7 linked regions of the Macaca mulatta genome follow. The protein of the gene in region 1 binds, or shares a complex with, the protein of each later gene. Links are inferred from orthologs where the notes say so. Each region holds a gene or a part of one and is shown on either strand. Other genes may lie near its edges. The genes, in order: SART1, LSM3, LSM8, UBL5, LSM4, LSM6 and LSM7.

Region 1 (3,931 bases):
CACCCAGCTAATTTTTGTATTTTTAGTAGAGACGGGGTTTTACCATATTGGCCAGGATGGTCTCGATCTCTTGACCTTGTGATTCGCCTGCCTCGGCCTCCCAAAGTGCTAGGATTACAGGCGTGAGCCACCGCGCCCGGCCTGCACTGGGGTTTTAAGTCCCAGTAGTTTTTTTTAGGGCTCCTCTCCTCAAGAAAAAAACTCATACACACAGATGTGCCACATTTTGCATTCAATTTCAGGGGTTCCAAGGATACACTGACGCTCATGTGGCGCTCCTTCAGTCTTAACAGTTCACGGGGCGCGGGTTTAAAAAATCCAATCCAGGGCTGGGCGCAGGGGCGCATGCCTGTAATCTCAGCATTTCGGGAGGCCAAGGCGGGTGGATAGCCTGGCTTCAGGAGTTCGAGACACCCCCCGCCCATCTACAAAAAAATACAAAAATTAAAGGGGCGTGGTAGCGTTCATTCGTAGTAGTCCCAGCTAGTGGGAAGGCTGAGGGGGTAGGATCACTTGAGCGCGGGAGGTCGAGGCTGCAGTGCGCCGTGATCGCGCCACTGCACTCCAGCCTGAGCAACAGAGTGAGATCCTATCTCAAGGGAAAAAAACAAAACAAAAAAACCAGGGAACGTGGGAAGGAAGCGTTCCCTAACGATACTAGTTATAGCGGGTCGGAAACTGGGCTATGGAATTTGAGATAACGGGAAAACAACACCCGTTGAAGCCACGACCCTAGGAGTCCACTAAGCGAGCGCCCATTGTAGGAGGGAGGTGTCTACGGAAAGGCCGTGAGGTAGTGAACACCCCGTTGTCGGTGAAGTGCAAGCGCAGGGATGCCGGGGAGGAACTTCCAGCCACGAAGACACTGGCTTAATGCCCTCTAAGTCCTTCCAGTTCTGGGATCCCATCTCCGGGTTAATTCCGCTTCCCTTGAGTAGCGAATGCACAACGGGACCACTGGCTCAAAGAACCCACCCGACCCGCGACGGCGCGAATGTGCAGTGGAGCAGTGATCCCGGTCTTCCCATGAGCCTCTGGGGCCGGCTCCAGGGCGAGCGACGGAAGCAGCCGCTCTTAGTTTCCGGCAACACGACAGCGGCTGCCGAGCGACCCGGAAGTATTCCCATTTTGCGTTGTCTGGGCTCGGCGGTAGCCGGGCTTGGAGTGGACGTGCCACTATGGGGTCGTCCAAGAAGCACCGCGGAGAGAAGGAGGCGACCGGGACGACGGCGGCGGCCGGCACCGGGGGCGCCACCGAGCAGCCGCCGCGGCACCGGGAACACAAAAAACACAAGCACCGGAGTGGCGGCAGTGGCGGTAGCGGTGGCGAACGACGGAAGCGGAGCCGGGAACGTGGGGGCGAGCGCGGGAGCGGGCGGCGCGGGGCCGAAGCTGAGGCCCGGAGCAGCACGCACGGGCGGGAGCGCAGCCAGGCAGAGCCCTCGGAGCGGCGTGTGAAGCGGGAGAAACGCGATGACGGCTATGAGGCCGGTGAGGAGGCGGGGCCTGCGCAGGGGGCGGGTCGGGCAGGGGTCCCAGAACGTGCGGGTCTGGGTGTGCGCACAGTGTCAGCAAAGCTCTCCGGATCGGGAAACCCCCAGACTGTCTATATCAACTCTTATTAAATAGTCTTTCTACGGGATCCCATGAGCCCAGGAGTTAGAGGCTGCAGTGTGCTGCGATCCCGCCAGTGCACTGCAGCCTGGGCAACAAAGCGAGACTCTGTCTCAAAAAAGCTTTTCTACGATTGTTTGGGATTAGAGGTAGACTGTCTCCACCTGGCTCCTTGAGGATAGAGAGCTTCCGTTTTTCTCAGTTGTCTGGTACAGTCACAGATTCTCAATAAATGTGTTGAATGAATGAATGAAGTAGTGTCAGCATATGCAGAGACAAGAAAAACCTGGTATTTGACGAATCGTATTGGACGAATCGTGTAGGGCTCCTGGTAGAGAAATGAAGGAGTAAGATAGGCAGGGATGTGAACGCAAAGGATCCTGTACTGTAGGCTCTGTTAAGAAATGTAGATTGTCTTGACAAGGTAGTAGGGAGCCTTGGCTGTGAGTTGAGGAGTGAGTTGCTCAGATCCGTATTTTGTAAACATTACTGGATTGAGAACTTAGTCAAAGGTAGTCAGGATTGGAGACCAGGAAATCAGGAGGGCTACAGACCAGGTGAGGGCTGATGGTGGCCTGCACCAAGGCAGCAGCAGTGGAGTGGAGAGAAGTGGACAGGTTGGAGAGGTGTTTTAGAGGAGGAATGAACAGAACTCAGTACTTGTATGAGGGTGGGAAGGAGAAGGAATTGAGGATGACTCCTTGAATTTTGGCTTGAGCAGCCAGATAGGTAGTGGGTGTCATTTCTACTGAAATTGAGGAGTAGGGAAGAGAAGGAGATTTGGAGCAGGGTGGGGGAAGATAATTCACTTTTGGGGTTGTCAAGGTTTATGTGCATAGGGAAATCCAGAGTTTGGACTGGATAAAGCCATTGGGAGTCAGTATCTGGGTGGCCAGTGAAGCCCGCGAAAGAATGCGACATGAGAAGCCGGGGTCAGGAATAGAACCTGAGAAATGCCCTTATGTTAGTAGTAGGCAGAGAAAGATGTTACCAAAAAAAGGAGATAGAGTAACCAAAGAGGCAGGAAAACCTTTGTGTCATGGGAACTTTGGAAATAGAGTATTGTTAGAAGGAGGGAGTGATCAGCAGTCCCATATACCACAGGAGATCAAGGAAAACCAGAACTGAAAAGAACCCGTTAGATTAGAAATGAAGGAGACTGGTGACTTTGGGGAGCCTGGAGAGATTGGGATCCAGGGCCCAGGTGGAGAGTGGAGCCTTTAAGATACAGGATGGGAATGCAGGAAAGGAAGAGGTGTTTTTTTTTTTTTTTTGAGACAAAGTCTTGCTCCATCTCTTTAAGAGACCTTGTCTCTTAAAAAAAAAAAATGAAAGAAAAAAGGAGAGGGCAGAATGGTGACTGTAGCAGTTTGGATCTCTTGGGTCAGGATAGGAAGGTGCGCAGAAGAGGCAGGGCTCTGAGACTGGACTCGGGCAGAGGAGCTGCTGGGGAGCTTGGGTGGAAGAAGCTGCTGTTTTCTGGTGTTTCATCAGGCCCAGGTGCTGGTGAGGGGCCCTCATCTTTGATCCTGCAGTTGGAGGCACTGATGCTGGCTTGTTGGCCCTATGTTCAGCTCCTGAGCCATGCTTCTTCTTCTTCCAGCTGCCAGCTCCAAAACTAGCTCAGGCGATGCCTCCTCACTCAGCATTGAGGAGACCAAGTGAGTACTGTCTCCCTTGTTTCCACTTTGTTTTTCTAAGATAGGTGGCTCTGGGGCCAGCCCTGGGGAGGCTTTCTCACATGAAAGTGTGCTAATTGGAGTTGGAAAGGTTGTATAGATCATTTTAGCCAACAGTAGAGTTATAGAAGAGGAAACTAATACCTAAGAGTAAAGTGGCATTCACCGGTTAGATGCAGACCAGGCTGGCGCCCATGTTTCCTGCTTTGGAGGCCAGGGCCCTTCCCAGTGTCCTAGGCTTCCTGGGGCAGACCGTGTGTTTGGGACCGCTCACTCCCACCCTGTTTCTTCTCCTGTCTGTTTGGAAATGCACATGGCACCCTGTGTCTTTGATAGCCCGTAACACTTGTATCCTTTGATAGCCCCTAACACTTGTATCTCTTGTTCTCAGTAAACTCCGGGCAAAGTTGGGGCTGAAACCCTTGGAGGTCAATGCCATCAAGAAGGGTGAGCATGGGGCTGAGGATGGGGTTTGGGGGAGAGGGCCATCTGAAGGGGTCTTTGAAGAAGGTGGGATTAGAGGGCAGGTTCAGCACGGTTTAGTGGTCTTACACATGCATATTTGCCGGAAGGCACGAGGTCCCTTCTTGCTGTTCTAATGTGGACCTGGGGCTCTGCTTGTTTTCTGAGTTAGAGCC
Region 2 (4,159 bases), on another chromosome or scaffold:
GGGGTGGGAAGGAATCTGATTTCAAGGTAACTTGATAAATTTACTCACATGTAATCTGCCTCGAAGCTCTCGGTCATTTCTCATCTTCACATAAATTCGCTCATCTAGGCTGAGCCTGATAAGATCCAGGGGCTCCTCTACAGTGTTGGTAGTTTGTTGCTGATAACAGAAACAGGTTTAGTAATATAGTACTAGAGATAAAGTAGTGCTTAAATCACTGCTATGCTGTATGACCATGTGCAAGTTATTTAACCTTTTTCTGCCTCAGTCTCCTAATCTGTAAAATGGAGATAATAGTGTCTACCTAATACTGTTTTTATGAGGCTTAAGTGACATATATGAAGGCTTAGAACAGAACTTTTCACATAGTATGTGCTATATAAATGTAGATTAAAACACGCATACATAAGAAGGAGTTACACAGCAAAATAATCATGACTATACTTTGTTCCCTCAAAATCCAAACTGCCTGACCCGATTTCAGGGTATAGGGTCTTAGGAACTTTAGCTTTATCTCAAATATTATGTAATCATAGGAAAAACACTCACTTAATGCCTACCATATACTAGTCAGAATGCCAAGTAGAGGTGTAGGTTTATGGGAAGATTATGAATTCAGCACAGGTTGAGGTTAGGCTGCCAACTGGCCAGTAAGATGAATATTTAGTAGCCAGAATAGAACACTGGTTCAAAGCACTGGCTTAGCCGGGCATGGTGGCATGTGCCTGTAGTCCCAGCTACTCCGAGGCTGAGGTGGGAGGATTGCCTGAGCCTGGGAGGTGGAGGTTGCAGTGAGCCAAGATGGTGCCAACAAGCAAGCAAGCACTGACTTTGGAGTCAGGCAGTCTGGGTTCAACTCCTGGCTGTGACCTGACACTTATGAACTGAGATTAAAAATCATGCCATCTGTAATTCTCAGATTCTTCATTTGTAATTGAGAAAGCCACAACCTTCCTTCTGGATTCTTATGAGGATGAAACTAGTTAATGCATTTAAAACAGTGCCAGGAAAGCAGAAAATATTAATACTTAGAAACGGTTCCTTTTGGCTGGGCGTGGTGGCTCAGGCCTGAATTCCAGCACTTTGGGAGGCTGAGAAAGGCAGATCACCTGAGGTTAGGAGTTTGAGACCAGCCTGGCCAACATGGTGAACCCCGTCTCTACTAAAAATACAAAAATTAGCCAGGCGTGCTGGCACGTGCCTGTAGTCCCAGCTACTTGGGAGGCTGAGACAGGAGAATCGCTTGAACCAGGAGGCAGAGGTTGCAGTGAACTGAGATCACGCCACTGCACTCCAGCCTGGGCGATAGAGTGAGACTCCATCCAAAAAAAAAAAAAGAAAAGAAAAGATTCCTACTAATATTATATTATTAAAGAACTGCTGGAAACACTGGTTTTAGAGGTCAGGGCTAGGATGACTTGGGGTCACCCACATGGAAGGGAGGGTTGCAGCCATTAAAGAGTTAGATGATTCAAGGAGAGCTTCTTTAGTAAGTACACAAGGCCAGTGGAGGAAGGTAACTGAATTCGTAACAGGCGCTAAAGATTCAAAAGGCCCGATGAGAGAAAAAAAAATAACCTAACTCAACTGGTCCCTATGTCCCTCAGTTCAACAGGTGTTTGTTAAAGGATCAGATAACCAACTGTTAGATTACAATGATACAGAAGTCACAATCTCCACCCTCAAGGAGCTCATTCTAATGTGGATAGGCATATGAATAATTATAATACTGTAAGAATATGCACATGACAGAGCTCTACTGCTACCTAAGCCTCTGTCTGGGATGCCCACTTTCTGTTCTTTTTCATCCTGTAGCTTTATACATTGGCTTTTAAAAGAGGCCTCCTCTGATCATCTAACTCATTCACTCAAATATTTGTTGAGTATTTCCAGCACTGTTCTAAACCCCAAGGACAAAAGAATGAACAAAACAAAATGCCTACTGTTATGGCACTTACATTCTAGTCAGGAGAGATACACATTAAACAAAGATGCATACATTTAATATGAAAAAATAACGTTCTATGAAGAAAAATGAGGCAGGGTAAGCAGAGTAGGGGGAGTGCTATTTGGGCAGAAGTCCTCTCTGAGGAGGTGAGATTTCAGTAGAAAGTTTAAGTTGTAGCATGATCTCCAAAGATATTTGAGGAAGAAAAAGACCAGGTGAAAAAGCTTCTAGGACCATCTGTTATTCTGCATACCAGTTCCTTGTTTCCTTCATAGCACATCACAGTTCCTATAAATCTTACATATTTATATTTATCTGTTCTCCTCGCGAATATAAGCTCCAAGTCATGGCAAGGATCACTTATATATCGATGTCAGTGTCCCTGGCTCTTAGAACAGTGTCTAACCATACAAAGCTGATGTTCACTCTCTCTGCTGAATGAGTAAATAATTGTTGTGCTCAGTAATAACAACTCCTAACTTTATTATCTGGCTTTCTATTGGAATCCTGACAGCTCCGTGAGGTAGGCACGCATAATAATTTACAGATTTAAAAAAACAAAGCGAAGAGTGTGATGAATAGTCATCAGGTGGCCTTCTAACGGAAAAGACCTCAGGGCCTGCAGCAAAATTCGGACAGGGGTGTTTACGGAAAGGATGGGGCGGATTAGGCCGTGTGACTTGGAAAGAAGAGGCGCGACTGGCCATTTTTCCTGCGTTTGGAAAAAGCAGTTTAGTACAAGAAGCGGCGCCGAGCCACCGCCTTAAAATTCACTCACCTGGTCTACGTCGTCCGCCATGTTTCAAACCCTGCGCCCTTTCCCGCCTCTCGCGAGAACACAAGAGCAACGCCGAGCTCCGGAAACGTGATGCTACAATACACCGGAAATAGAAACCTGCTGTGCTCTTGCCTGCTTCCCGCGGTTTTTTAGTGGCCACGGGTATGGGGCGGAGCTTCCTTTGGGGGCGTGACTAGGCCTCCAACGAAGGGGCGTGGCCAGACGCGCCCGCCTCGGGGCGGGGCCTGCGTTCTAACGCATCGCGGCCTGGTGCGTCACTCGCGAAGTGGATTTTTCCCCGACAAGCAATATGGCTCGGAAGCGCGCGGCCGGCGGGGAGCCGCGGGGACGCGAAACGCGCAGCCAGAAGTCCAAGGCCAAGAGCAAGACCCGGCGTGAGGAGGAGGAGGGTGAGAGCGTGGCCCAGCGGGCTTCGCGGGAGACTCTGCCGGTGGGCGGAGGAGGCCCAGAGGCAGGGGCGGCGGGAGTCCAGACGCGGAGGCCGGGAGGAGGTTGCTGCGCGCGTTCCGCGCAGTGGGGGCAGCACGGCAGGCCGCGGCCGGCCCTCCCCGCTGTCCCTGCGCCTTTGTCCTCTGCACCCAGAGCGGCTTCCCGTGAGCCTCGCCCGACCCAAGCTCCTGCGTAGCTTCTTTCCCGCTCCCCGTTGTCCAGAGGATACAGCGCAGATGTTCAGGGTTGAACGCGGAGAAGGCAGTTATTTGTGTCCCAGGAAAACGGACGGACGGACCAGGACGTAGAGTGATGCAGTGTGCTGACTCCCGAATGATAACTTCAGCTGAGTCTCGCCCAGAGTTCCACAGTGGGATCCCACCTGACTTCCCCTCGTGGATATTGGATAGGCTTCTTACATTTGTCGTGGACAGTGCAGAGCTCATGGTCTTCCCCTTCAAATCTATGCTTTCCTCCGTTTTTCCAGTCCCAATACTTGTTATAAAACAAAGTCCACCTTTTTCTTATGTGCACACATCCAGTCCCGTCAGCAAGTCCAGTCAGTTCAGCCTCAGACTGTATTTCAAATTTGTCCACTTCTCTTCATTTCCATGGCCACAACCCCTGTCCAAGTCACCATCACCTTTCAGTTGAGTGACTGCAGTTTCCTCTTGACTGGCCTCCCAGCTCTGCATCCAGCAACGCAAATAATCTTTAAAAAAAAAAAAAAAAATCATGCCATGCTCCTGCTTTAAACTCTCCTTGGTTTTCCATTGCTCTTAGTTTAAAATCCAGTTGTCTTATCCTGGCCTGCAAGATGCTACGTGTTTTGGCTCTTGCTACCTCTCCTGTTTCTCCTACCACTTGTTTCCTTGCCAGATACCCTCCTCATTGGCCTCCTTTCTCTTCCTCAAATATGCCAAGTTATTTCTTGAGCCTTTTCCTTTGATATTCCTTCGGCCTAGAGTGACCCCCCACCATGG
Region 3 (4,004 bases), on another chromosome or scaffold:
CTGTTAACAAAAATAAGAAAATTTAAACGTAAGGTTTTCACTAAATAAAAAATAATGCAAACATCTATTAATAGCAATAGGCTTCTTGAAGTGTTGAGGTTAAAATATGTCAAACTGTCCACATTTGAAAAAATACAATGTGAGGTGCCTAAGAAAACATGATTGCTTCCTTAAGAAAGAAGCCAGGCAACTGGCCTTGGCTTTGATGTCAAAGCAAATTTAAATCCCAGTTTGGTTCTGTCACCTGCTACCCTGTGACTCTGAGAAAGTGAGTCACCTTCTCTGAACTTGTTTCCTAATCTAGAATACAGGGGTACTTATTCTTCACAAGGTTGTATGTACATTAATTAATGTAACACATATGCACCTGGCACACGATATAAATTTAGTAAATGGCAAAGCTAGAACTTTGACTAACAATAGTCACTAAGAACAAACGAAAGCAAAACTGCAGAATGGAAAAATAAGTGATCAAATTATTTAAAGAAACTAGGTAGGGTTAGAAAAGTTTAGTAGCCTTAAAATTCTTTTGAAAGCATTTGGAGTAGGAATTTTAAGTGAAGAAATAATCAAGTACCCAAAAATCTTGAGATGAATTCCTCAGATCAAATTCCAAATACAAGTATCACCATAGGAACGTTTTATCTTTGTTATATGACATAAATTAGCAAGGGAGAAACAACTTCAAGGAACAAGCCAATTTTACGTAAATATGTGTATATAGAGAGAGTCAATCATCATAATGTGTCCTACAGAAGACATGTCACACAACCTAAAAACAAAGAATGTTAAGATTGTATACAAGCCTTAAATGTTGATATGTAGATATTAATAGTATCTAAATCATTAAAAAGTTACTAAGCATATGCAAAATTTCAAAAAATTCTGATTCATGTGGTGCCGAATGAGGAAGGAAATAAAAATGGAAGAAGAAAAGTAAGTTTAATGAAGGTCTGCAGACTAGGAGCTCTCTGAGGGCAGAATCTATAACTCTAGCTCCTAGAAGCCTTGTAGGTAACACGCCACGTTTATGAGTGAGGAAAACGTGGATTGACAGCAAAGTGATAAAGAGCTGAATTATAATAAAACTGCACTACAGGTGTAATGTGCTGTCTAGGCATTAGAGATCAGAGGTTTCACATAAAACTTGCAACCAATAAACCTACAGGAAAGCAGAGAATGAAAATTCCGAAGACTTACCACAATCATCCTCCCATCAGATGTAATAACGGCAACAGTTCCTGATAACTGAATAAAGGAAAGTGTTTCTTAGGGAATGCAAATTGAAAACAGACTCTGGCAAGGTAATGATTTAAATTATTAGAACAAATATGACAATTAGGTAAAAGTGTTCAACACAGCCACTAAGTTCACTACATAAAAACGTTGAAAGATTTTGGGACGCCAAGGCAGGAGGATCACTTGAGGTGAGACTAGCTTGGGAAACACAGTGAGACCCCCCCCATCTCTACTACCCTGGCCTGGTGACCTATAGTCCCAGCTACTCAGGAGACAGAGGCAGAGGCAGGAGGATAGCTTGAGCTCAGGAGTTCAAGGTTGCATTGAGCCATGATCAAGCCACTGCACTCCAGCCTGGGCAACACAGTGAGACCCTCGACTCAAAAAAAGAAAGAAAAAAAATTTTTTAAAAGCTTGTTTTAGTTTTGTGATAATTACATGACTAAAAAAAGGAAAAAATAGAAAAGAAAACCTCTTTCTGTATGTGATCGGTGTATCCTATCTCAAAATATCCTGGATTTTTGACACTTTTCTACTAGGAATGCTGCCAATCTATTATTTCGGACAGGATATTTCGTTTCTTGGGCCTGTTTATATCTAAAATGAAAACTGGATGAGTACTAAATTCATCGATGTTGGACGATTTTCAAGCATGTTAAAAAACTGTCTTCCGGGGCAGGCTTCTGTAATTCAAAAGTAAATAAACTATATAATCAGTGTCACAAGGTACTAACAATGCCTGTAACATTAAAAGCATTCGGTATTTAATTTTTGTCACCCAGTTTGTACCTGAACTTAACATAGTGTTTTTGTTCTGAGACTTTAAAACGGTAACACTTGTAAAGTCTATTTTAAGACTTCCCGTGGGGTTGTTACTTGCTCCTCACTATAATCCATTACAACAGCAAGCATTTTTTTCATTCCACCACCAGGTAGGGTCTTCAAGTGGTAAAGGGACAGAAACAGTCTGTGAACCATCGTTAAACTTTCTGCTATCCTCGAACTAATGAGCATATTATGTGAATAAAACAAGTACACAGATTTGCAAAACTGTTGTCGCAGCCAGGACGACTGTTCATCTTATTTACAAACTTGAACACTTATGCCCTAGGGAAATAGTAAGGAAGAATCAAGAGCGTAATTTTTTTTAAGACAGAAAAGTTCGGAAAAATCACACTGGGTTTTTATTTGGCTTTTGTAGACAAAATGGAAAGGACCCCTGGGCCCGCAGCAGCTGGCAGGCTCTAGGCGCCGCCGCCGAACTCTGGGTCATTCCGGGGTCCTCATCTCGCCCGCCCCCAGGATCCCGCCGCGGCCGGGCCTCCCAACTTCCCACCGATCCCCGAGCGGCGGTCTCTCCGCGGCCCCGGCTCACGCCCGCGGCGGCCAGCTTGAGGATACGGTTGATGTAGTTCTCCAAGGCGGACGTCATGCTGCTCGGACCGGCAGTTCCGGATAACGCAGTGGTGCCGGCCACAAGCAGAACTGAAAGGGCGCGCCAGAACTCGGCAGCGGTTCGCGTCTGCGAGCCGCCGCAAATATCGTGAGAGTTGCTGCTCCGCAGCCCTTTGACTCGGAAATTGGGACGAACTAGCCAACCAAACAGAAGCAGCGCCGCTCTGACGAGAGAGTGCGCGTGCGCAGTGTGTTTTCGCTGTAATTCTGGGCCGTGTTCCGGAAGCCGTGTAAGACAAAGGGAACGAGAGGCGGAAAAAAGGAGGACGCTTCCCGAAGGTGGGGTACGAGAGAGAAGTTGGGGGAGAGTGGGTTTCCAATCCGAGTAAAACCCAGTGTGGTGGAAGATAATAAGTGAAAATGTTGAGGTAGAGCAGGCAGGAAGAAACAGGATAAGGCGTTTTTTATTAGGAGTGAAGGAGGAGAGTAGACGAGCGCTGTTGTGTGAAATGCGGGTGCGGGTAGTTGAATCCCTAGTTTTCTGCAGCAGGAGCCGAAAATAACACTAAAAATAAGTCCAGTTGGCCGGGACAAAGTTGCGCACGTTATAACCACACGGTGTAAGCGTCTTAAGAACTCAACAATGAAATGCACGTTCGTATGTTCTGCTTTTGTCTCTAAAAGTGGTCCAAAATGGAGGTGTTTTTACTTTTTAAAGAAACTAAATGTAAATAGAAAAAGGTGTGTGACCATCCCTTAGAAAACGAATGTTCACGCTTCTACCACGCCGGGATGGTCTGCCGGAATTCTCCAGGGTGAAATTAATAAATAAAAGGCTCCTTCAGCACCAAGAAAGGACTGATGCAGGAAGGCACCAAACTTGGTTCTAATCTTGGCTCTGCTAACGTATTGGTGTCATTGCACAGGTCACTTCAATTCTTCTGGGCCTCAGTTTCCTTATAGTGCCATAGGTATCATTTCAGATATTTCCCAATGTGATACTGTTCCCACTTTATTTACTGTGTTGCCCTAACTTGAGAGAGCTTGAAGTTAGAAAGAGATTTATACACAAAACATCAGCAGGAGCGATTTCCCTTTTTTACAAAATATCTTTATGATTTAGGTTAAACATGTATTTTCTTAAGAATTGTGGCTTTGGAATAACTCTTGCAATGTCAGCAGTTTTCCTGGGAAAAGGAAGCATTTCTTAATTAGAGCATACCCACAAGATACCTACAAGATGACTCCCAAATAGTTAAAATTTTATATTCTGGAAGTTATTCCGATCTGTTTGAAATCAAATGTAGTCAGGAATTAGATTGTGAATGTCTCATATTCTCAGGGTAACAAATGAAAGTGTCTTCCACAAA
Region 4 (4,115 bases), on another chromosome or scaffold:
AAGTAAAACCAGAGAGCAGAAGCAAGGTGAAGGGGCGGGTGAGCAAGAAGCAAGATAAATGGCAGAAGCTGAGGAGACAAAACAAAAGGAAGATTAAAAACTGAGTAAAAATCCCATGGCCAGGGAAATCAGGACCAAACCAGTAAGGAACAGCTCTTTAGGCATAAGCATGCGCATTAAACACAAAAAGTATCCTTAACGTAAGGATAACCAGCTCATTAGCGCTCATGCATATGGACGGCATATCATGCAGGTACTTAAAATTATGGAATGAAGACGGCCCTCAAGCGCACAGGGGCCAAAGTAACTAAGCAACACACCTATCATTCAAAAAGGTAGACACTGGCTACAGATTAGGCAGCCTTGGGAAAAGAAGAAAAGCCTGGCTAACATGGTGAAACATCATCTCTACAAAAACTACAAAAATTAGCCGGGCGTGGTGGCGGGCGCCTGTAATCCCAGCTACTCGGAAGGCGAAGGCTGCAGTGAGCCGAGACCGCACCATTGCACTCCAGCCTGGGCAACACAGCGAGACTACGTCGGGAAAAAAAAAAAAAGACCCAAACTACACCAAGCTGGGGCTGATCTTATCTCGCAGAGGTCAGTCCGCTCTCCCCTCCGAGAGTGGAATACTGTGCTTAATAAACTTGCTGCTTTGCTATCTCTGTGTGACTCGTTCAAATTTTTGTTCGGGGCACCAAGAGCCTGCAACTGTGCGGTAACAGCAGCTATTCGGCAGCGTAGAGTCTAGTCCAGGATCCAGCTTCGCCTATTGACTGGAGTCCGCATCCCGGGGGAATGCGATGGCCAGAGGGCAGAGGTGAGCAAAATGCTCACGACGCCCAGCCCTGAATGAACCCAGGGGGTCAGAAGGGATGACTGCAGAATTCGCTCCCCCTACTCCCTCCACCCTCGCTCCTAGTAACCGCATAAAGAGGCTTCGGGCCCCCACCCCCGGGACCCTCTGGTGTCCCACCATGTGACCGAGTCTCCCTGCAACAATGACTTAAAAAGAGCTGGGGCCAGCGCCGGACCTCTGGCTCTCGCTCCACGCCCTTTCCCCGGCCCCACACCCGCCAAGACCCCCCTCTCTACCCCACGCGCCTACCGCAGGCGTCCCCCTGCCAAGCCTTGGGTCACGGAAACCGTACTTGTGAACCGCAAACACACAACAGACTGCAGACCCGGAAGAACCTGAGCCAGTGTTGACCACACCGCCTGGCTAGGGGCGGGACTTCCGGCCCCGCGTTTTTACTTCCGCTTCCGGTTCCCAGCGTCAACTGCAGCCGGGGTTCTGCGCTCGGGTGAGGAGCTAGTGGCGTCGGCAGGTTCGAGGCGATTCGAGGTGAGGGGGTCAAGCGGAGAGGCTCGGAGTTGGGGAAAGCTGTCGCGACCCAGCCACCCAGGGTCTGGGGTCGGTGGGAGGTGAGGCCAGGGAGTTTCGTGTCAGGGCATTCAGGCGTCGAGAAGGGGCGGATGCGCGGCTGCCTGGGGTTCGCGGCCCTGGGACAGGGGACTTGGCCTGGGAGTATTCGAGTGCGGGGGGTTGGGAGCAGAACGGAAGGCTCAGTAACCGAGAATTTTAGGGCCTGGGACTGGGAGACTTGTAGGCTGGGGCTTCTGGGTCTGGGAGACGCCCGAAGCTCTGATTTTGCTACTTCCCACCCCACTGCTCTGTGTAGCTCCAGCTAGGATGATCGAGGTTGTTTGCAACGACCGTCTGGGGAAGAAGGTCCGCGTTAAATGCAAGTATCCACTGGCAGCCGAGAGGCAGTGGTACTCGCAGGGGTGCTTGGCGTGAGGCAGGCAACTCAATCCGTTGTCGGATGGTTTTAGTTAAACCCGGGAGAGGGGGCGGATGGGGTCCTGGCAGATGGTATTCAGCCCTGGAATGTCCTCTTCCTCGTTCTACCGCTCCCATTTGCCTTAACTCCTCTGCGCCCAGCACGGATGATACTATCGGGGACCTTAAGAAGCTGATTGCAGCCCAAACTGGCACCCGTTGGAACAAGATTGTCCTGAAGAAGTGGTGAGTGCAGTAGTAGAGCCACTGGGTGGACTGGACTAGGCCGGAAGGTTTTGGTTTGGGGGAGCGCTGCAAGCAGCCCTTTGCTTAGGCTGGGCTACCTCATTCGGCCTCCAGGCTGAAGAGCCTACTTAGCCTTATCTCTGAAATGTCTCTTTTCCTTAGGTACACGATTTTTAAGGACCACGTGTCTCTGGGGGACTGTATCCTTTGTGTGACTTCTTGAGGAAGCATCTACATACCCAGCCTCGGTTATCTTCGTTCCAAACTAAAGTCTGCATGAGATAATGTTTATTAAGTGTTTAACTTAGTACGTGGCACATGGTGAGCACTTAGAAAGTGGGAGCTAGGCTGGGCGCGGTGGCTCACGCCTGTAATCCCGGCACTTTGGGAGGCCGAGGTAGGCGGATCATAAGGTGAGGAGATCGAGACCATCCTGGCTAACACGGTGAAACCCCGTCTCTACTAAAAAATACAAAAAAATTAGCCGGGCATAGTGGCGGGCGCCTGTAGTCCCAGCTGCTCGGGAGGCTGAGGCAGGAGAATGGCTTGAACCGGGGAGGCGGAGCTTGCAGTGAACCGACATGGTGCCACTGCACTCCATCCTAGGCAACAGAGCAAATACTGTCTCAAAAAAAAAAAAAGAAGAACATGGGAGCTATGTAATTATTTGGTTGGGGAGAGGGTAGTTGGTGAAAGTTTGACTTCAAGTTCAAAATATTTATTACTGACCTCCACCTGAGTGCTGGACAGTAGGTCAGGGTGGGGTGAGACTTAGGTATATCTATTGTGCAGAAGGAACAGAAACTTTTTGAATTTTTATTTTATTTATTTTTTTGAGACAGTCTCGCTCTGTCGCCCAGGCTGGAGTGCAGTGGCGCGGTCTTGGTCCACTGCAACCTTCACCTCCCGAGTTCAAGCAATTCTGCCTCAGCCTCCCAAGTAGTTGGGATTACAGGCCTGTGCCACCACTCCTTGCTAGTTTTTGTATTTTTAGTAGAGATGGGGTTCTGCCACATTTTCCAGACTAGTCTCGAACTCCTGGCCTCAAGTGATCCTCCCGCCTCGGCCTCCCAAAGTGCTAGGATTATAGCCATGAGCCACTACACTTGGCCTAGAAGGAACAGAAACTTTTTTTTTTTTGAGATGGAGTTTTGCTGTTGTTGCCCAGGCTGGAGTACAGTGGCACAATCTTGGCTCACTGCAGCCTCTACCTCCTGGGTGTAAGCGATTCTCCTGTCTCAGCCCTCCAAGTAGCTGGGATTACAGGTGCCCACCACCACACCCAGCTAACTTTTTTGTATTTTTAGTAGAGATGGGTTTTCACTGTGTTTAAACATCACAGTGTTGGCCAGGCTGGTCTCAAACTCCTGACATCAAGTGATCCACCTGCTTCAGCTTCCCAAAGTGCTGGGATTACAGGTGTGAGCCACTGCACCCAGCCAGAAATTTTTTGGTAAAGTTTCAGTTCTCTCCAAATAAAAATGGCCTGGTCCAAAATGGGCTTCCTTAGCCCTGAACTGAGACCTCAGGCCACCCTGACCCAGCTGTGAATGGATGAGAGGGGTGGGGATGGAAGCCAGAGTCAGGATTCCTTAACACCTTTCCTTCAGATGAAATCCACGATGGGATGAACCTGGAGCTTTATTACCAATAGATGAGAATCCTCATCTTCCTGCTGCCCTGCTCTCCTTTCCCATCCTCATCCCCCACACTGGGATAGATGCTTGTTTGTAAAAACTCACCTTAATAAAGACTTAGATGTTGCTTTGTTGCTGTCTCTTTGCATGAGAGCTGTCTAGTGATGGATGGATTGGTCGCTGTTAGGTCATCACTGCACCATCAGTATGTACCTGCTGAAATAAGAGCTCCAGATCAACTGGATCCATGAGGGCAGAGTAGACCAGCAGGCTGGGAGTCTGTGTAGGAGCCCAGAGAGAGCTCTGGGGTTTGCTGTGGGTGTCTGAAGGTCAAGAGACGCTGGGATTATTGTCACCCTAATAGACCAAAGAGCCTCCAGGTCATGACAGTAGATGGAATTGTTAGGAATTAAGATTCTGAAATCACACAGACCTGAGGAGGTATAGAT
Region 5 (4,122 bases), on another chromosome or scaffold:
GATCCTCAAAATCTTAAAAGAAGATACATCAAAGTGCCAGGTGAGGCTTGGCACAGTGGCTTGCGCCTATAATCACAGCACTTTGGGAGGCTGAGGTGGGAGGATCACTTGAGCCCAGGAGTATGAGACCAGCTTGGGCAACACAGCAAGATTCTGTCTCTACAAAAAATGTAAGAATTAGACAGGTTTAGTGACGCATGTGGTCCCAGCTACTTGGGAGGCTGAGGTGGGAGGATCACTTGGGCCGGTGAGGTTGAGGCTGCAGTGATTGTGCCATTGCACTCCAGCCTGGACGACAGTGAGAGCTCAGTTCCAAAAAAGAAAAAAAAGTACAGAGTGCAGTGGCTCACACCTGTAATACCAGCACTTTGACACACCGAGGTGGGTGGATCACCTGAGGTCAGGGGTTCAAGACTAGCCTAGCCAACATGGTGAAACCCCATCTCTACTGAAAATACACAAATTATCCAGGCGTGGTGGCGCATGCCTGTGATCCCAAGCTACTTGGGAGGCTGAGGCAGGAAAATCACTCTCTCCGAGAGGTGGAGGTTTAGTGGGCTTTCTTGCAGCATCTGGAATCTGGTTCTCAGGTCTAGATCCACAAAGACCTAATCCAGTGCCTCCTAATTCAGGAAGCTGTCCAGGACTGCCCATCCCCGCTCCTAACCCAGGCCACTCCTTCTGGCCCTGCCCTGATCACAGGGAACTGGAAGTGTGTATCCCATGATGCCTTGTCCATTCTTGGCCACTCCTCCAGGAAATGGCTGGATAGCCAGGACTCTGGATGTTCAGAAGGTGGGAAGGGGCTGAATGAATGAGTTCACACTTTGCCCAGGCACCGTTCTACACACTGGGAATATAGTTGGAAGAAAAAAAAAGATTCTGCTTCCACAAAACTTAACACGGGTGGATCCTTCCAGCTCTGCCCAGTCTTGCATGCCAACTCTGCCCTCTAAGTACATGGCAGAGGGACAGGCTCTCTAAATCCTTGCTCTTGAAACCGCCTTTGCAAAAATTGTAACTGAGGAAATTATGACAGCGAAAAGAGATCAGACCTAACCGACTCCATCGTGCTTCTAACCTTTAAGCTGTTCTTGTTTATTCCTGGGCATAGGCCGAACTAACCTTGGGAAGGGATTTAGTGTATAGTTTGAAACAAAATTGGTAATAGCCCTTTCCCGAAAAGACCCTTTTCTTGCCTGGGGACCAGTCTGCCTTTGTAGGACTAACAAATTAGCTGCACGATTAGAAATTATTGTTTACGGGTCATACAGCCTCTGGCTGCAAGAGTCTGAACCTCCCCAAATTGCTCCTAGGGATAACATCACTATTATAAAATCTAAGATCAGTGTTTGAGATATTTTGCAGACCCTGTACTTGGTGGATCAGCTGACACCACCCAGACCAGTAATTTGGCTCAACCAGTCCTGCAATCCCACCCAGGAACAGAAGACAGCAAGAAAATCTCACTTCAACCCCCGCCCCCGCCCCCCCCCCCCCCCCCCCCCCGCCAATGACTCCATCTCCAACCTCAGGAAGCTCCAACCAATCAGCACTCCCCACTTCCTGAGCTCCTACCCGCCAAATTATCTTTAAAAACTCGGATCCCCTAATGCTCAGGGGAGACTGATTTCAGCAGTAATAAAACTCCAGTCTCCTGCATAGCTGGCTCTGTGTGAAATACTCTTTCTGTATTGCAATTGCCCTGTCTTGATAAATGGGCTCTGTCTAGGAAGCAGGCAAGGTGAACCCGTTGGGTGGCTACACACTGACCAGCTGGATTTAGGGAGAGCTCTCTCACTAATCCACAGTTCTGATGCAGCCACCCCTGGGGGGCCCTCCTGGTTACTGAATCTCCCACTGTCTCACAGTCTGGAAGTCACATCCCCAACAAGGGCCTTGGTTTCTCTCATTGAAAAAAGAAGGGCCAGATGCTGATGAGCCAGGAAACTCCCAGCTCTGGATTCCTTTTCTGATCTGCACACTGGGAGACACAGGCACTTTCTAGCCCAGATCCAGAACTTACAGAATCATAAACAATGTGGCCCTGCAGAGACCTGGGCTGCAATTTTTCCTTCTGTGTACGGGGAGGATGTACTTTGCCCACCCCTAGCTCAAAACGCTCCCTTCCTCTGGAATGACATGCTTTGTGAACCAAGGAGAAACACCACACCCCAGCACCAGGCCTACTTTTCAGCCAGAAAACAAGAGGCCTAGGAGGCTCTGCTGCTAGCATTTTAAGCATCTTACAAGCTCTGAAATTCCTAAAACCAAGTTTCACAACTCAGACTGGCCCCCTACTTCCCAGCACTCTAGGTTTCAATCTGGGAGGTCAGACTGGGTCCGAAGCGTAAGGGACCCCCTTCCCTGCCCAAAAACTCTCTGTTGCATTTGGCAGATCCCCACTTTTTTAACCTCAGTTTCCCAACCTGCAAAATGGGAAAACTAAGTAAGGCGAGGCCACTGTACTGTGGATACGAGTACGTGCAACCCTAAATCCCAGACACGAACGTGGTAGAACCACCTGCAGTCTCCAGCATCAGTTTCCCGGCCTTGTGCCGGGGGACGGGACTCAAGGCTCGGACCGTACGTTCGCCCCGCGCCAACCCAGCCCTCAGCGCCCGCCCGCAGGGCTCCTAACGACTGCGGTTCCCGCCTCCCGGTGAGACCCCGCCGTTGCTCTGCCCTCACCATGGTGCCGGCGGGGACCGGGCTCGCCGGCCACTTCCGCCGCCGCCGCTGCACACGCTCCCGGCGGTCTTCGCCACGCCGCGCCGCGCGCCACTGGGCTGAAAGAAAGTGGCAGAGACGCGAGCCAGTCAGCACCGGGCTAGAAGGGCGGTTAACCAATCCACGCGGAGTGGGGCGGGGCCCGCTAGGCGAAAGGGGCGGGCCGGGCCGTGTTCCCGCCAGAGGAACGAGGAAGAGAGCCGTAAAGTGCCGCGGCTTGTAATACAAAAGGGGGCGGAGCAACGCGCGCCGGGGCGGGGTGCATTGTGGGTAAACGCGTGCGCAGGTGAAACCTTCGTCGGTCTTCTGGGCTCCACGCTGTGGGCAAAGCCAGTAACTGCCTTTGCAGTTGAGGGAGAGAAATCCAGGCTTCGTGGTGATTGGGACGTCCCTGGTGTCGCCCTTCGGACTCCTAGTTTTCTGATTCTGTAATTATCCAGGGAACATCATTTAGTAGGTTGGAATCCTGACCACGACCCTCGGGGCCTCAGTTTTCTCCCTGTAAATAGTAGTGTCTGCTCCAAAACGTTACTTACTATGAGGATGAAATGAATGAAACCGTGTAAAAGCACTTAAAACAGCGTCTGGCATATATTAAGTACTTAATACCTATTCTGTGCCTGCTTCTGCTCATAGAAATGAACAGTACACAAAATTCGTGGCCCTTAGGGAGACAGACAGTAAACAAAGTAAATAGGCGAATGCTATTAGTTCCCTGGGGCCTGCTGTAACAAATGCCCACACACTGGGAGGCTTAAAACAACAGAACGTGATTTTCTCATAATTCAGGAGACCAGAATAATGAAATGAGGTTGTCAGTAGGGTTGGCTCCCTCTGGAGGCTCTGAGGACAATCTGCGTGTCCTATGCTTCTCTCCTGGGTTCTGGTGGCTGCTGGGAAACCTCGGAGTTCTTGGCTTGTAGATGCAGCCTTCCGCGTTCTGCCTCTGTCGTCACTTGGCCTTCTCTGTGTGTCTCTGAGTCTCAAACGACTCTCTCCTTTTTTTTTTCTTTTTTTGTAGAGACAGGGTCTCCCTATGTTGTCCAGGCTGGTCTCGAACTCTTGGGGTCAAGCAATCCTCCCTCCTCTGCCTCCCAAAGTGCTGGGATTACAGGCGTGAGCCACCGAGCCCAGCCTCTCCGTTTTCTTATAAGGACACGCCTTTCTCTTATTAAGCCCACCATAAATTCAGGATAATGTCATCGCAAGATCCTTAATTACATCTGCAAAGACCCTATTTTTTTTTTTTTTTTTTTTTGAAATGGAGTCTCATTCTATCACCCAGACTACAGTGCAGTGGTGGGATCTCAGCTCACTGCAATCCCTCCGTCCTGGGTTTAAGGGATTCTCCTGCCTCAGCCACCAGAGTGGCTAGGATTACAGGCACACGCC
Region 6 (3,992 bases), on another chromosome or scaffold:
AAGCAAAAACTTGCAAGGAAACATTACAATCCAAGTAACTGCAGCACTAGACTAACAGATCAGTGTCTGAGGAGGCGATCAGACACGGAGAAGAACAGCTCTCCAAGTCCTCCCTTCTGACACAGTGGAGTGCCTCGCTGTCTTGTGAAGGCTTCATACCAATCCCTCCTTCCTGAGCAGCAGGCGCTACTTCTCTCCCTCTCTCCCAAAGGCGAAGTGAGTCCACTCAGAGCACCTCTTTCCACTCTCGGTCATGGTCCTTATCAGGCTGCTTTGTAATTTTTCCATTTGCTGACAGGTCTCCCATGGTGAGTTTTAAGCTCCTTGGGGACAGGGGAAATATCCTACTCACTTGGTATCCCTGGTACCTAAGCACACTGCCCAAGTCTGTGGAAGAGACATTCAAGGCCAGTGCCAAGCAAAATCCCTGTCCAGCCCCCACCAACCCAAACTATGGATACAGTGACTAGTAGGATCATGCACGTACTTCAACAAATACTAACCAAGTAATCTCTATTAGGACCACCAAAGACGGAGAAAACAACCCTTTCTGTCATTCAAGAACCAGCTGTTTCCAAATCTAGAGATGCTTGTTAAAATGCAGATTCCTGAAGTCTACTCAGGTAAAAGCACTGTATTTTACATTTTATGAAGTTCTCCAGATAATTTATTTAAGCAAATGGTTCTCAACTAGGGGCAGTTTCCCCAACCCCACCCCACCCTGCTCAGGGACATTTGGAAGTATCTGGGGACACTGAACTGTCAAGACTGAGGAAGGTGGTGCTACTGCTATACTAGTGGGTAGAGACCAGGGATGTTGCTAAACATTTTACAACAGGACCGCCCTCCACAACAAAGGACTGTCCAGCCCAAAATGTCAATGGAAGCTGAGAATCTCCGCTATAAGCCCTAAAAAAAAAAACCACCAACAACATTGTTCTTTGGTTTTAAAGTGAGGAGTTTTAAAGAAATCTCCAAAGTACAGCAAATGATAACCAAAAGCTACATTCTAACCAAATGATGGAGTGTAGATTATAATTAATCAGGGATGTTTTATTCTAACATAAAGGGAACCTGAAAACAACTGTCAAAATCTTGAAGGGGTTGCCATTCTAAATAATGGATTTCTAGTCTTAGCCATGAAAATAATCACTTTCCAATTTCTCAGTGTTACAGGTCCCTCCGATCATTAATCTGTTAGTACACTTTTAAAAGGAGAGAATAATCCAGGTGATGTAAACAAATTTTTAAATTCTAATATCTACTATGCCACAGTTCAGTGAGAGACTGCCTGATGCAGCACAGGGTACTCACTTGGGAGGCAGGAAACCTGAGTTCTAATCCCAGCTCTGCTACTTAATTAGCTGTGTGACTTGGATAACTCATCATTTCACTTCTCATGGCCCCAGGTTCCTCATCTGCAAAATAAGGGAGTTATGCCAGATGACCACTTAAGTCTCTTCCTGCCCTAACATTCAGGTAGTAACGCATTAACTCCAGTGACACACACACACACACACACACACCCACAAACATAAGCCTCTCAAGATTTCTGTACAATATTCAAGCAAGTAAAATTGCCAAACACCTGAAAAACTTTTTTGGAAAACACTGCAGCAATGTGTACGAAGGCCTAAAAAAGGCCTTACAGATGAAAGCATCTAATCTGATAATTTCACTTCTGAGAATCTAGTCCAAGGAAATAATCTAAAAAATAGGGGGGAAAAGGTTTATCAAAGTATTATCTGGGGTGCTAAGAGATTCAAAAATTCAAAAACAATCTATAATATCCCACAATCGGGAAATGACTGAATAATTTATGGGACCTACATTGCGATCCACAATGAGGGACAGTCAATCAAAAGAAGATACAAAACTAGAATAATATTTAGGAAGAGTTTTTAAATGGAAGTGGTAAACTATACTGTTAAGTGATTAAACATGTACACTCCTAGCTCAAGTAGAAGCTAGCATACACAGGAGAAAAAGATTGTAGGTGAAAGGGTTGTGAATACTATTTCTTCACTAAAGTCTTCCATGTTTGCAATTTTCTACAATAGTCACATATTACTAAGAGCAGTGGGGTAGGGTAATCCGCTTCATCCTAATGCTACACATCTTAAAAACGCCTGCTATGCACGCGCGCGGACACGCGAACGCACAGAAAACCTCGGGCAATAGGACTTAAGACCATACAATTGGGTTCCTAGGCCTGACAACTCAGTAAGACAGGCGAGTCGAGTCCTTAATTCCTGTGGTCAGGCGCAGCCACCCCGATGTAGGGAAGGGTTAGCAATTCCCTGAAGCCCTGGAAGACTGGCGAAGCCTAGGCCTGGGTTCGGGATCCGCTTTCCCGCCGAATCCTGGGATTAGCCTCGGGGCTCCCTGGGGAACTTCAACAACCTCAACTGGTCTCGGACGCCAACTCGGTGGGAGCCGGGACGGTGCCGCTACTCTCTGCGCAGTCTAAGCACCTCGCTGAGGGCGGTCCCGGCGCCCACTATCAGACCTCTCCGGCCATTCCGTGAGCGGAGAGCTTGGACGCGGCATTTCGCGGAAAGCTGCCACTCAGCGGCCCCTTCCCGGAGCCCCAGCCCGTTCCCCTCAGGCCCTTTCCGGGGCTGCCTCGCCCGGCCTAGGGCCGCTGCAGCCGCCGCTCCACAGCGCGACTGAACACTGGGGCGTCGAACCCGGGGCTACGCCCGGCCCCGTCATCGGCCCGCGCAGCCGTGCGGCTCACCTCGCGGGCGGGATCCAGAACCCTCACTCCAGGCGCCCCACGAGTCCGGCCTCCGCGGATGATCGCAGCCAAAAGCGAAACCGCCGAGGCAGCGGCACTTTTCTGCCTCGGCCAATCACTGCTCTTCTCTGCTACGGCAGCCCGCTGGGGCCGAAAAGCCTGTCAGCGCCGAAGCGCGCAAATCCGAGAATCCTGTTTTGTCTAGTAGCAAAATTGGTGCACTGGAGTTCCTCTGACAGAAATCTGAATACAAAACAAATATAATATAAAACAAAAACAAAAATCCAGGAAACTAGAAGTGATCTTTTGTCCAGGATTTATTTGCAGAAGTGTAAAAAATAACTTGAAGTCATAGGAAACTGGAATTTACTGTTTAAGTAACGGCACTGTGTACCCAGAAACGTCCTTGAATAGTTTAAAGCAAATAAATAAATAAAACACCTCAAGTCTTTAAATCTACCTCTGGATATTTATTAAATGTGTGAAGACTTAAGCCATTTTAGCAAGAGACTGTTTCCATGGCAATGTTGATTAAAAAATAATTAAAATCACTCAAGTAACTCCGAATTATAATGACATTAATTGTGTTACATTAAAAACTTGTTCCAATTGGAAATGGTGTGCAGACATTATTTAAGTGCTACTATGGGAACTTGGTTTGGAATTTTGCATGAATTCTCAACACTCTTTCTATTAATGGGATTGGAAGGGGGAAAAAAGAGAACTGTTACCCCAAGACTTGATTCCTTTACTCTCATCAGCTGAAAACTTACTTTAATTTTATTTATGGTTTGTAACGCTACACACAAAGCAATAAGATCTTCCAACACAGATCCTTAACCCCATTAGGTGTTATAAAATCTAAGATGCAGAATTTTTTTCTGAGATAAAGAATTCCTCCCTTGTAACCTTCTTTTGGCTAAAGGCAGAAGAAATGAACTTTTGATTGATATCAGGGACAGAAAACAAGTGGATGTGATTTGGTAAAGAATAGAGACTTCCTTATATCCTTCTATAAAAGCTCAGTTTGGGTAAAGACCAAACAGTTACTGATTTATTGAGAGGACTGTATTTGAAGTTCTTGCAATATAAAATATAATATAAATAAAAATTTTAAGAAAAGTACTGTTTAAATCAAATAATTACTTGCAAAGTACAAACATAACAGGATAAAAAGGCCTGTTCCTAAAAACTTTCTTTGCAAGACATCAAATTGCACATTCCTTACTGGTTGTTTAAATTATTAAAAAAA
Region 7 (4,070 bases), on another chromosome or scaffold:
CTCGCCGCCTTAGGTCACAACTTGGCACCTTGGGTTAGGGCTCTCTGACCCGGTGGTGACCTCTGCCATCTGATCCTGCTCCGCAGTGTCTGGTGACACTGAGAAGGGTGAAGGGGGAGCTGCGTGTCCTCAGCAGAGGCCAGCCCACCCTCCCTGTCCGGGACTCCCGTCCTCTCCCCCCAGGCTCCTCCAGCCCAGGCCCAGGAGCGGTTCCGCCTCTGCGCTCACTGAGGGGCGTCCCACAGCCACCCGCTCCCTACCCTCCTTCTTACCCCTGTCATCTTTCAGGTGCTTCCTCCAGACACCAACCCACACCCCTTAGGGTGCTGCCCTCTGCATGCCCCCCACCAATCTCAGGAAGCAGGCACCCCAGGCATTATTCTGCCCGCCTATCTTCTCCCAAGGCAGGGCTGTGAGCCTGTCCATGGCCGTTCTGCGCTGCGAACTACGACCAGAGGCGAAAGTGGCCCACCGCTCATCTCTGTATGCCAAAGTTTCACTGGCCCACCAGCACACTCGCCCGCTCAGGCACTGACCAGGGCGGCTCTCCTGCTCTGCGGGCATAGCTCACTGGTTGTGACAAGAGACCATCTGGGCTGCAAAGCTGAAGATATTTGCTGTCTGGCCTTCTACAGAGAAGGTCTGCCCACCTGCATACAGGCTTTAGCTCCTACCTCCACGGCTCCCTCTCTCTGTGCTCAAGTCCCTCCCCTGCAAAATGAAACTTGTCACCTATGAGATGGGGTCAGACGCAGCGGTTCAGGTCCTTGGCACCAGCCTGACCAGTGAGCCAGCCCTCCTCACGGGGACAGATGTGAGCACTGAGGTAGGTAGGTCTCTAACCAAGGTTCCCCTCCCCGGGGTGTGGGCTCGGGCCTGTGACTCTGAGGGGACATGACGTCACTCCTGCACTTAGGTTATGCAGCTGTTTAAGCCCCTGAACCAGCTGACTTTGAGCCAATCTAGAGGGAAACACCCTGGGTGAGCCTGACCATATCAGGTGAGTCCTTCAGGGAGCAAACCCTTTCTCTGCTGTGTGTGTGCGTGTGTGTGATTTATTTATTTTTAGACGGAGTCTCGCTCTGTCTCCCAGACTGGAGTGCAGTGGCGCGATCTCAGCTCACTGCAACCTCTGCCTCCTGGGTTCAAGAGATTCTCCTGCCTCAGCCTCCTGAGTTGTTGGGATTACAGGTGTGCGCCACCACGCCCAGCTAATTTTTTTGTATTTTTCGTAGAGATGGGGTTTCACAAAACCCCATGTTGGTCAGGCTGGTCTCGATCTCCTGATCATATGATCCGCCTGCCTCAGTCTCCCAAAGTGCTGGGGTTACAGGCGTGAGTCCCTGCGCCCCGCCAAGAGCTGCAGCATGCATCACCAGCCCACTGCCCATGCGAATGCTTCCTGCCCTCTGAGAGCTCGCCCTGTCTTCACTAGATTCCATGGAAGAGTCGCAGGCAGAGGCAAGCATCAGGTTAACATGCACGAAACCGCAAACGGTGACAGGTGCCACCAGGATCCTAGAACGATGGGGGGCCTGACGCCAGGGTCAGGGAGGGCTTCCCAGAGCAAGCACCTGTGGAACTTGTGCTTTTGCCGCCCTTTGCAGTCATAATCAGAAGTATGGATTCGGATTTTACTCCAAAACAACGGGGAGCCTCAGAGCTTTTCAGCAGGGAGCAAGAAGCCTCCATTTCTTTTTCATTAGGTGCCTCTGGCCGCTGAGTGGAGACTGACCTTAGTAGCTGTGATTCCCAATCACAGCTTGGGGGTCGGGGGGCGATCCTATCCCCAGAGAACACTAAGCAATGTCTGAGGCTATTTAGGTTGTCACAACTTGGTGGAGGCCAGGGATGCTGCTCAGCACCCTGCAGTGCCCCAGGACGGCCCCACTCCAGAGAATCCGGCCCCAAATGTGTCCACACTGCTGTGCGGGAAAGACCTTGACTTAGAGGGAGGAAGAGGAGAAGCCGGGAGATCTGTGGGGATCTGGGGCAGTCCTTGGACACACAGGACTGCTCTGGAGGCCAAGCCGGAAATCCCAATACCGGCTGCGCCACTGTGACTTTGGGTTACGTTTGTTTCCCGCTCCTTGCCCCAGTTTCCCCGCCTGCAAAATGGCCATACCAGTTCCTACCTCCCGGCGTAATTCGGAAGCCTGCACAAGGTAGTCGGCGTCAAGCGTGTAAAGAGGCGCCTCTGCGGCGGCTCACGCCTGTCATCCCAGCACTTTGGGAGGCCGAGACGGGCGAATCACTTGAGGTCAGAAGTTTGAGACCAGCCTGGCCAACATGGTGAAACCCCGTCTCTACTAGAAATACAAAAATTAACCAGGAGTGGTGGCGCCTGTAGCCCCAGCCACGCAGGAGGCTGAGGCAGGAGAATCGCTTGAACCCGGGAGGCGGAGGTTGCAGTGAGCTGAGATCGCACCACTTGCACTCCAGACTGGGCGACGGAGCGAGACTGCGTCTCAAATAAATACATAAATAAAAATAAATAAAAGAGGCGCCTCTGCATGCATCCTCATCACCTCTCTTGCTGAGTTTATTTTAAAATTTTAAAGGGGGGGTGCCAACGGCGGGAGCCGCCTCACCTTCGCGTCCTCCCTGAAACTTCACCCGGATCGTCTTGTCGATGTACTTGGACAAGTCCAAGATGCTCTCCTTTTTCTTCTTCTCCTTATCCTGCGGGGAAAGCAGAGCGCATGAGGCCTGGAGCGCGGCCCGAGCCCCACGCCCCCCGGCTCCGGATTCCGCCGCGCGCTCACCGCCATCTTGTCGCGCCGTGCGGCTCTTCGCAGACACCGCCCCGTGCCCTGTGACCTCTCCCCTCCCCCCCCACGCGCATGCGCGGCGCATGCGTGGCCCGGGGTCTCGGGGCGTTGCTGGGAAACATCTGCCGACGGTTGCGGCGGGCACCGGCCGAGATGGCGGCGGTGGCGGCGGCTGCGCTGGCGCGGCTTGTGGCGGCCTTTCTGCTCCTCGCGGCCCAGGTGAGCGCGGCACCGGTCCCGACGGCACCGCAGGCTGCGGCCCTTCGGCCTCTCGGCCCCGAGGCTACGCGCAGGAACGACCCCTCTTGGCCCGTCTTGGGGGGTCGAGCCTCGGGGATCCGCGGTCCCCTCGTTGTCGGCCGGCGGTGCCGGGGCCCGGCCGTGACCTTGCGGGGCTGTCCCCGGCTTCTCTCCCTTCCCCGCCTCGGAGGCCCTCCGCCGCTGCAGCGCCCCTCACTTCCCACCGGGCCTGAAGTTTGTGCCCCCTCCATCTCCCGGTTCTGCTTGTCCGTTTCGGGGTCTCCAGCCGCCGCGGGGGACGCCTCTCTCCCGCTCTGTGGCCTTGGGCAGGCGGCCGCCCACCCCGCTCCGAGCCTCAGTTTCCCTTTAGGCGGAATGGCCGGGTGCTAAGCTAACCTCACCCTAGGGGGTGCGGTGGGGGAACCCAGAGGCGTCCCGCGTGTCCCCCAGTGACTGGCCAGCATCCTGGAGCGGCCAAGAGCCCAGCCCTGCACTGGGGTCGTATCCCCGCTCCATCTTTTACTCCGTGACCTTGGACGAGGGAATTCCCTGCTTTGAGCGTCGGTTGCTCGTCTGGAGAAGGGGGGTCGACTATGGTGTGGATTCTGGAGATGCTACCCAGGGTGACCAGCGCCTAGGGACAGCACGCCTTCCTTATATTCATTGTGTATCCTTTGATGTAGAGTGTCAGGTTCTAGCGGGGACAGTCTACGAGATGGCACTGTCGTAACTGCATCTTTTATTTTCTTAATTCCAAGTCTTCCCTCTTACCTGAGTTTGGTGGCTCAGGGAATGGAACCCGGAGCAGCCTCACAAATGCGGCCCTTAACCTTCACTCCTCTCTCAGAGTTCTCTTAAGGCGTTGCTGCCACTGGGCTCCTTCTTAGTCTCCACTCTTCCAGCCCCACCGCCATCCCCCTGCTGTGGCTGCCTTTGTCCCCCACATCCCTAGTCCATCCTCGACACAGCAGGAGTGACCCTTTCAAAGTATGTCAGTCCATGTCGCATCTGGATGAACGTGCCGTCCAGTTGTGACCTGGCGCCAGGGAAGCCTGCAGC

What was found.
Region 2: SART1 (region 1) and LSM3 share a complex: the UniProt entries of both Homo sapiens proteins name them as parts of the U4/U6-U5 tri-snRNP complex. The link is inferred for Macaca mulatta from reciprocal best matches to the Homo sapiens genes SART1 and LSM3.
Region 3: SART1 (region 1) and LSM8 share a complex: the UniProt entries of both Homo sapiens proteins name them as parts of the U4/U6-U5 tri-snRNP complex. The link is inferred for Macaca mulatta from reciprocal best matches to the Homo sapiens genes SART1 and LSM8.
Region 4: the proteins of SART1 (region 1) and UBL5 are in contact, whole or in part, in a crystal structure (PDB 4PYU), measured with the Homo sapiens proteins. The link is inferred for Macaca mulatta from reciprocal best matches to the Homo sapiens genes SART1 and UBL5. Residues at the interface, in NP_005137.1 of Homo sapiens: Ser117, Leu118, Ser119, Ile120, Thr123, Leu126, Arg127, Leu130, Leu132, Lys133, Leu135; in NP_001041706.1 of Homo sapiens: Met1, Glu3, Arg15, Lys17, Cys18, Asn19, Asp21, Asp22, Asp26, Lys29, Leu30, Ala33, Gln34.
Region 5: SART1 (region 1) and LSM4 share a complex: the UniProt entries of both Homo sapiens proteins name them as parts of the U4/U6-U5 tri-snRNP complex. The link is inferred for Macaca mulatta from reciprocal best matches to the Homo sapiens genes SART1 and LSM4.
Region 6: SART1 (region 1) and LSM6 share a complex: the UniProt entries of both Homo sapiens proteins name them as parts of the U4/U6-U5 tri-snRNP complex. The link is inferred for Macaca mulatta from reciprocal best matches to the Homo sapiens genes SART1 and LSM6.
Region 7: SART1 (region 1) and LSM7 share a complex: the UniProt entries of both Homo sapiens proteins name them as parts of the U4/U6-U5 tri-snRNP complex. The link is inferred for Macaca mulatta from reciprocal best matches to the Homo sapiens genes SART1 and LSM7.

Annotation. Positions count from the first base shown.
Region 1 is NC_133419.1:8,455,685-8,459,615, reverse strand, and holds the start of SART1 (U4/U6.U5 tri-snRNP-associated protein 1), read left to right. Parts: upstream 1-1,131; 5' UTR 1,132-1,178; coding exon 1,179-1,491; intron 1,492-3,217; coding exon 3,218-3,275; intron 3,276-3,684; coding exon 3,685-3,740; intron 3,741-3,931. UniProt on the Homo sapiens protein: Plays a role in mRNA splicing as a component of the U4/U6-U5 tri-snRNP, one of the building blocks of the spliceosome. May also bind to DNA.
Region 2 is NC_133407.1:152,980,496-152,984,654, reverse strand, and holds the start of LSM3 (U6 snRNA-associated Sm-like protein LSm3), read right to left. Parts: upstream 2,801-4,159; 5' UTR 2,748-2,800; coding exon 2,727-2,747; intron 160-2,726; coding exon 49-159; intron 1-48. Other genes in the region: XPC (DNA repair protein complementing XP-C cells), read left to right, coding at 3,037-3,136. UniProt on the Homo sapiens protein: Plays a role in pre-mRNA splicing as component of the U4/U6-U5 tri-snRNP complex that is involved in spliceosome assembly, and as component of the precatalytic spliceosome (spliceosome B complex).
Region 3 is NC_133408.1:157,715,904-157,719,907, reverse strand, and holds the start of LSM8 (LSM8 homolog, U6 small nuclear RNA associated), read right to left. Parts: upstream 2,801-4,004; 5' UTR 2,672-2,800; coding exon 2,641-2,671; coding exon of another isoform or gene 2,576-2,640; intron 1,249-2,575; coding exon of another isoform or gene 1,242-1,248; coding exon 1,201-1,241; intron 1-1,200. UniProt on the Homo sapiens protein: Plays a role in pre-mRNA splicing as component of the U4/U6-U5 tri-snRNP complex that is involved in spliceosome assembly, and as component of the precatalytic spliceosome (spliceosome B complex).
Region 4 is NC_133424.1:10,532,519-10,536,633, forward strand, and holds UBL5 (ubiquitin-like protein 5), read left to right. Parts: upstream 1-1,315; 5' UTR 1,316-1,425; exon of another isoform or gene 1,426-1,476; coding exon of another isoform or gene 1,477-1,545; intron 1,546-1,682; 5' UTR 1,683-1,693; coding exon 1,694-1,749; intron 1,750-1,945; coding exon 1,946-2,029; intron 2,030-2,191; coding exon 2,192-2,229; intron 2,230-3,639; coding exon 3,640-3,683; 3' UTR 3,684-3,706; downstream 3,707-4,115. Other genes in the region: PIN1 (peptidyl-prolyl cis-trans isomerase NIMA-interacting 1), read left to right, coding at 1,477-1,545. UniProt on the Homo sapiens protein: Ubiquitin-like protein that plays a role in cell proliferation and sister chromatid cohesion by associating with spliceosomal proteins. Participates thereby in pre-mRNA splicing by maintaining spliceosome integrity.
Region 5 is NC_133424.1:18,849,963-18,854,084, forward strand, and holds the start of LSM4 (U6 snRNA-associated Sm-like protein LSm4), read right to left. Parts: upstream 2,801-4,122; 5' UTR 2,695-2,800; coding exon 2,692-2,694; intron 1-2,691. UniProt on the Homo sapiens protein: Plays a role in pre-mRNA splicing as component of the U4/U6-U5 tri-snRNP complex that is involved in spliceosome assembly, and as component of the precatalytic spliceosome (spliceosome B complex).
Region 6 is NC_133410.1:154,723,947-154,727,938, reverse strand, and holds the start of LSM6 (U6 snRNA-associated Sm-like protein LSm6), read right to left. Parts: upstream 2,801-3,992; 5' UTR 2,741-2,800; intron 1,419-2,740; exon of another isoform or gene 1,315-1,418; intron 1-1,314. UniProt on the Homo sapiens protein: Plays a role in pre-mRNA splicing as component of the U4/U6-U5 tri-snRNP complex that is involved in spliceosome assembly, and as component of the precatalytic spliceosome (spliceosome B complex).
Region 7 is NC_133424.1:3,075,559-3,079,628, forward strand, and holds the start of LSM7 (U6 snRNA-associated Sm-like protein LSm7), read right to left. Parts: upstream 2,801-4,070; 5' UTR 2,772-2,800; coding exon 2,766-2,771; intron 2,683-2,765; coding exon 2,592-2,682; intron 2,525-2,591; exon of another isoform or gene 1,436-2,524; intron 1,001-1,435; exon of another isoform or gene 917-1,000; intron 827-916; exon of another isoform or gene 405-826; intron 1-404. Other genes in the region: SPPL2B (signal peptide peptidase-like 2B), read left to right, coding at 2,925-2,990. UniProt on the Homo sapiens protein: Plays a role in pre-mRNA splicing as component of the U4/U6-U5 tri-snRNP complex that is involved in spliceosome assembly, and as component of the precatalytic spliceosome (spliceosome B complex).